Xenopus tropicalis: one gene and its partner. The protein of the gene in region 1 binds, or shares a complex with, the protein of each later gene. Links are inferred from orthologs where the notes say so. Each region holds a gene or a part of one and is shown in the gene's direction. Other genes may lie near its edges.

Region 1 (3,657 bases):
GTGTGCTGTACCATGGGGGTGATAGCTTACATTGCCATCCATGCCTTGGGTGCCAAATCTACTTGGCCTGGCTTTAATAGGGAGATTATCCTTTCCGTAAAACATACCTAAAAAGAAAGCTTTATGACAGCCCATATGTTGTGTTATAAGCTAATTAAATAATTTCTGTATTTCTACTAATAATTGCAATGTACCCACCCATGATACGTAAGCATAATGGGATGTGTTTTTCTATCTACTATATAAGTAATATCAAAACAAAATAAATTGGTACTTGTTTGCAATACACATACTGGTTGTATCGTTTGTACAAGTTCCCTGATCAGCGCACATGCGCAGACGATATCAGATGTTTCGCCGACGCACAGATTAAATCGGACCGGTCCGTGACTGCTTATAGGGACAGTGCTACAGGTGCACAGACAGAGTTACAGAGATTTACCCTAACAGTTCGTGCTACAGGTGTTACGAACAGAGATTACAGGATTTAACCCTTACAGTTCTGGTAATGTCACAATAATCTGGAAAGAAACAAGGCCTAGAGGCCCAGGTCTGAGATCACTGGTAGCATGTAGATCCAAAAAATAACTCATAATGGTTTTCTTTAGGCGTTACTAAGAAAAATATTCCATCTACGCAAACATAAATATTCTCCTTTAATAGCACAGTTCATTACGGGGCCCATTAAATTGAGTTATTGAGTTGTAGGCCCCAGGCTTTCTGCAATTAATGGACTCCTTGCCACTCCCTGAGTTCCATTTCTGACTTGTAAAAATAACAACTATAGTATCTCAGATCTGTGGTCTGCACCTAATCACCAAATCTGCTATGCAGCTTGCCAATCAGATAAACTTACAACGCAATATATCTGATAAGTATACTGGGAAAAAAACAGATACAACCACAAAGAGACATCTCATCTTCAGCATTCAGATTATTCAAGCCCTTGATCAGAACCTTAACCTTGCTTTCTAGTGCTTAATTAATTGTACAACCCACACATCGCAGTTTGGAAGCCCCACAGACTGAGATATAAGAAACACTGCACTGTTCACATGTTATTTAGTACAGATCCAGCTTAGTGTTACCTTCCCTGGGATATTAGCCTCAAAAAAATTATAAACCCCCCTTTTGACATGAGTTTATTCAGTTGAGGCGTTGTAGAAAAGATGCATAAACACTATCCAGAACAAAATATAAATGCACATTTATATATAGACAGCATGCTGGCATAATGATGCCTTCTCTGACTTATATCTGATTGAACCTAGGTCAGATATCATCAGCAGAGGCAATAAATCCTGCATATTAAGGGCAGCAGATATCGTATTGTATGTGAAAATCACCTGGGTTATCCAATGATTTTTTCAGTGAGGGACAGAAATTGAATCAGCTGATTGGGCCAACTGCTTTGGATGGTCAGGTCACCAAATGAGGAAGTTATGCTGTGTTTGGCCAGCTGTATGCATCCGACTAGGTTTTCTTCTCATTTAGAGACATATTGTATCTTTATAGACCATAAAAGAGTTGAAAATTTCAATAAGATGATCTGTGGGTATATTGATTGGTTGAATCAGTTAACATGTGCTGACACAGTGAAAATAGCTTCTTGCAGCCCCAGGTGCACGCTGTACCCACTGCCCGGGCAAATAAATACAAAAATGCTGAAAACAGCAGCACTTTTTGGCACTTGAGTAAAGATTCACATTTTTCAAAACAACCGGAGTGCTGCTGTTTTCATCATTTTTATATTGATTGGTTGAGGACCCCTCAGCTATTCCCTCACTTAGCCTAATGGATATCAGAGCAGTAATGAATTGGTTAGTAACCCGGTATCTATGTGTACGTTCATAGGATGTTAATAGGAACCCCTGCTGGTGTGTATTTTAGAGAAGAGCAGCACTTTCCCAGGGTCCAAAGATAGTAATTCTAATCATGGGGGATGGGATGATTTTTGCATTCCTTGGGACAGAGGGAGTACTATTCTGGAATGGCCATTCTTAAAAACAGGGATCCCTAAACTCTATTATATATTTCTCTTTTTGCTTTTTATGACTTTCATACAGCCAGAAAGATTTCCCAATGCTTTAATAACAATGTGGCACCCAAGTGCAAGGTATCAGTAAAACATGTTAATGATATGAAACAGCCTGATACAGTTTACATTTTAAAGCAAATACAGGTATAGGACCCATTATCCAGAATGCTCGGGACCAGGGGTATTCAGGATAACGGGTTTTTCCGTAATTTGGATCTCCATACATTAAATCTATTAAAAAAATCTATAAAACATTAATTAAACCCAATAGGATTGTTTTGCATCCAATAAGGATTATTTATATCTTAGTTGGGATCAGTTACAAGGTACTGTTTTATTACTACAGAGAAAAAGGAAATCAGTTCTAAAATTCTGAATTATTTGATTAAAATGGAGTCTATGGGAGACGGGCTTTCCGTAATTCGGAGCTTTCTGGATAATGTACTATATTTTATTTTTCATTGATTGTAAAGGTTCTTAGTATCCCGCAGCAAGAGAAAAGTTCCTTTTCAAAAGGGTTGTGTAAAATATGGACGCAGAAGGACGTGGAGGATGCCACTGACTGTTTCTGCAGCAGCAAAATCATACACGAAGGAGAATTTGCCGACGTTTACATGGGACACAAACAAGACAAACTATATGCAATAAAAAGGCTTAAAAAGGTAAAGTAGATTAGTCCATGGATATTCATTTCTGTTTTTAATAGGATGCAAAGTGCAAAACATTTGGGGCTCATTTATCAATATTGGAAATTCTCCCATGAGCAGTAACCCATAGCAACCAACCAGTTGTAGGTAGAACAATAAGTGCAACAATTTGATTGGTTGCCATGGGTTACTGCCCATCAGTGCCAATCAGTGTTGATTAATGACCCCAATGGTGTTTTGCTCCTGTTTTTTTTTGACATTGCACTTTGCCCTGCTCTATGTTAGTGAGCTGTCTAGGGTAAATCACCAGCTAGGGCCAGTGCTGGTACTATAAATTTACTAGCAATATATTTGCTGGTAAATTTGTAAGGGTGGCAACCCTACCTATAAATCCCTCCCTTCTCTAACCCACTCCATGGCCAATCACCCCCTTTAAAGCAGAGGCCCACCTCTTCCCTGCCCATTTCTATGCACATCCAGCCCATATCCCACCCCATCCACCTATTTTCCCACCCTGTTACATCACTCCACCCCCAAGTGACATCACTGTCCACCCCCAACCCGAAGGCGGATATTGGTGGCAAAAACAGGTGGCAACCCTAACCAAGGACCACAAACTTAAAACCCTGAAATCTCAAGCATGTTTTTTTCCATGCAGTACTAGCACCTTCATAGTTCATTTCGTGCCTCCCGTGATGTAATAACATGATTTGTAATGTTTGTGGTTTTCTCTTCTAGGTACAGGATGAAGAGCAAAAAAGGATGTCTTCATTTTTCCACACAGAGGCTCAAATCAGTTTCCGGTACGTGCCATCATTAGGGAACTTCTACAGATAGTATGGCCAATCTCATATGCTGCTGTATCCTAGCAGAGTAAGGTACTGCTCTATTCAGGAAGTGAGACAGGTAAAAGTAAATCACTTCCCTTGTTGTAAAAAGCTGATATAAAAACAAGAAGGGGAAGGGGCTGCA
Region 2 (3,657 bases), on another chromosome or scaffold:
CCTTGTTTTGTATTGTGGACATGATCTCTGATGAGGCTGTGCAGGGTGTAAATGTGGTCTGTGGTGCGGTGGTTTGGCAGGAACCCTGCTTGGCTCTGGCTGAGGACATTGTGCTGGGTTAGGAAGGTGAGGCTTCGCCTGTTCAGAATACTGTTGAAAAGTTTTCCCAGGGTGCTGCCCACACAGATCCCTCTGTAATTGGCTGGGTCGTACCAGTCCCCACTTTTGTAGATGGGGGTTATGAGGCTTTGATTTCATGCCTTGGGGAAGTGGCCGACACTCAGGGCTAGGTTGAAGAGTTTGGCTATTGCAGCATGTGTTTCTGGGGGGCCCTATTTAATCATCTCCGGCAGGATTCCATCTGTACCGGCGGCTTTTTAACATTGTAAGTCTTTTATTTTGTCTGCTATTTCCTGGGGTGCCATTGGTGCATCCAAAGGGGTCTGGAAGTCCTTGATTTTCTCCTCCAGAGCATGAAGCTTTGCCCTGTATATTCTTTTGTTCTGGGGTTTGCTCACATGGGGGATTTCTTTGTACAGATCCTTGAAATAGTTCCGCCAGATGTTGACATTTTGTATCTCTCTCTTTCTCCCTCTCTTTGAAATTTATCATAGCAGTTAGATGCAATACTATAAAGCAGTGGTACCCAGTGTTTGTCACCCTGTGATCTACTCTTTCACATTTAATGCCCATATAACATTATACAAATGTCAACACAGCAGTATGGCTGCAGTTAAATGCTCTGTTATGTTGGGGGGAAAAAGAAGTGGTGGGATGGCATCCCTCCTTGTGGTCTACGAAAAACTTTAAAGTGATCTACTGGTAGACCGCGATCTACCTCTTGGGCACCCCTGCTATAAAGTATCATTGGAACAAAATGTTGCTTTGTTACTTTTTGCTGTTATTGTTATGCCATATCAAAAACATCAAAACAGTGCCTAGTCTTAGTTGCCCAGTAATGCCACAGAACAACTACACTATAACTGTAATATTACAGTCTTGAATCAAAAATATACAGCTACTGCACATTGTTTTCTGTTACTCTATGTGGTGCTCATTGAGTTCTGAACTTGTCCTTGTTTTAAATACCATACAGCTGCTCTGCAAAACTGAATTAATAAGTTTGCCTTGCCTGCTACAGGGGCACATTGATTAGCATTATTTTTTTACTCTGTTTGAAACACTGAATGAAAAGAGGATGATGTTACTAAATAATTGACATTAGGGTTAACAATAATAAATTATCTTTTTTTTTTTTAGCTGGTCGATGCTAGTATTCAGGATCTAACATGCCAGTTTGAACAAGAAATCAAAATTATGGGCAAGTGAGTAATTCAACATTACTTCAATATTAGTGCTATAAAATAATGAGAAAAATAGTTTGGGCAAAAGTTTCCACACATTTTAGGCCATAAACAGAGAGAGACTGCTACTTTTCAAACTAAAAGAATTAATATCAGGAGCAAGGGTGTGCACACAAGCTTACCACTGCCATATGCAGTGTATGGTGATGTTAGGCAGGAGTGGTGAAAAGGTCTGAAGGGACAAATTGCACTTCACTACTGGGCAGTCTGATGCATGTGTTTGGTTGGTGCCAGGAAAATGTTACCTGTCTGAAGGTGTGACAACTATGTGTTTCATATTTATGTCAACAGTTTGGGGAAACCCCTTCCCAAATTCTGAATAATAATAATCTAATCAAAAAGTGGGGTTTGTTGAGGTTGGAGTTGAAGAGTCTGACTGAACTGCTTAGAGCCCTCAATTAACTGAACACTTGTGAAGTGGAACTCTGATTGCAAGCTAGGCCTGTTTGCCAAATATCAGTACCCAACCTCACAAATATTTTGTAGTCTAATTGAAGCAGATTCCACCAATCACGTTTCAATATTAAGTGGAAAGCATTCCCTGAAGAGAAGACGCATTCATTTCTTTGTAATACCCATGAAGTCAGACAATATACAAGCTACAGCTATACAATGATGCTGTAATTTTTACTTTATCAAAAATGTACCTTTCTTCCTTTGGTTAACATTCATACAGCATATTCAATTTGCCATACTGCGCGGTACATTTGCAGTGAATTAATGAGATGCCCTACATTTTTCTTTCCTTCCTGCTGCTCTGCAAATCCGAGAGTAGTTGCACTAACCCGGTTCATGGGACAGATGAAATTAAGCCATAAACAGAAAATGGAGTAGAGAAAGGGAACAAAAAAGCAAGAAATGGAGGAGTGGCTGGGCAGTTGTATTTATAAGTGAGTGGATGTGGTGAGTGTAAGTAAGTTTGTACAGTTCCAGTAGTAACTTTACTAAGAGAATCCTTTTGTTGAGTGATGGAGGTTATGGGCTCATCCAGTTCTGGGCTACCATCTTTTTGGGGTATAATAAAATGGGTTGCAGCCACGAATTTCATAACTTGTTGCCAGAATTCCTGCATATCAGGGCAAAACCATAGTGAGTGCAGGAAATGTAAATGCCGAAATTAGGCAGCATATGTAGCACATCATACATAAAAACATGACCAGTTTGTTTCGCTCCTTACTTAATCTATGCTGCTGCTTTCAGGAAATTCAGCAAAAGGTTACAATTGCTCCACAGTGGGCTATCTTGTTATACTTCCTTTAAACCTAAAATGCATAAAGCATCCGTTTAAATTGCTGATGTTTTGTTGCCTTGACTTTTACCACCTGGCATTAGTTTATTTGGGTACTATAGCTGCAATTTTTATTTTAGACCTGTATAAGCTTTAAGGCTTGCATACAACTGCAGATTTCTGTTATGTATATAATTAAAACATTGAAAACATGTGCTTTCATTTCTCTTGCTTTTGCTTACTAAATTTTTGATCACTGTGTCATATGAAAGACTACAGTATTCATGGTATGACAGGAGGAGAATTTTTTTTTTTGTAGTAGTTATCATGACTATTCCTGCCATTTGATTGTTGTTTACGGGAAAATTATCCCATGATATCTGTTTGTTTCTTTAGATGCCAACATGAAAACCTTGTAAAACTACTTGGTTATTCCAAAGATGGTGATCAGTACTGTCTGATATACACATATATGCCAAATGGTTCTTTGCTGGACAGGCTAGCTTGCTTGGTAAGTTCATATATTGTGATACTCAGAAGAATACAGAGGTACTCTGGTGTTGCAAAGCTGACATGTAGGATATGTAGCAACAACGTTTAGATGAATAAAAAATCAACATCTAGGGGAGGAATGGATGTATTTTTGTGATGGTCCATAGAAAGAAGCTGCATGTCCTGATAAATGTAAGTTGGGAAATTGAGGAAGGGGGCCTAAAGTTACACTTAGACACCTGCCATGGAAAACTGAATGTAGGGTGATGTTGTGGACTGTAATGTTAAATACAGGGAGGGGACTGGGTTTAAGTTGGAATATGTGCAGCTCAGGCCCATTTAAGTAAATAAGATATATGAGAGGGGACCATCTTGGAAAGAGTGGGTAGTGCCTTTGCAGGGGCACTTTAATATAGTTATATATATCGCTTTCCATGTCTTTTTAAACACTTATGATACCCAAAGTTTATATAATATGATAAACTGTTGGTTAATTGCCGTTTAATTTTTTTGCATTATTTTGCCCTTTATATGTATCAGTTTTCTTGTCCTTGAAATAAAAATAGAAAAATT

What was found. The genes of interacting proteins can lie anywhere in the genome.
Region 2: the proteins of irak2 (region 1) and irak4 are in contact, whole or in part, in a crystal structure (PDB 3MOP), measured with the Homo sapiens proteins. The link is inferred for Xenopus tropicalis from reciprocal best matches to the Homo sapiens genes IRAK2 and IRAK4. Residues at the interface, in NP_001561.3 of Homo sapiens: Tyr6, Ile36, Lys44, Met48, Glu59, Trp62, Trp63, Trp64, Gly65, Met66, Arg67, Gln68, Ala69, Gln73; in NP_001107654.1 of Homo sapiens: Asp24, Phe25, Pro28, Gln29, Lys34, Glu92, Phe93, Phe94, Ala95, Pro96, Ser98, Val105.

What each region holds. Positions count from the first base shown.
Region 1 is NC_030680.2:131,765,019-131,768,675, forward strand, and holds part of irak2 (interleukin-1 receptor-associated kinase-like 2), read left to right. Parts: intron 1-2,511; coding exon 2,512-2,700; intron 2,701-3,423; coding exon 3,424-3,488; intron 3,489-3,657. UniProt on the Homo sapiens protein: Binds to the IL-1 type I receptor following IL-1 engagement, triggering intracellular signaling cascades leading to transcriptional up-regulation and mRNA stabilization.
Region 2 is NC_030679.2:64,406,152-64,409,808, reverse strand, and holds part of irak4 (interleukin-1 receptor-associated kinase 4), read left to right. Parts: intron 1-1,260; coding exon 1,261-1,325; intron 1,326-2,988; coding exon 2,989-3,103; intron 3,104-3,657.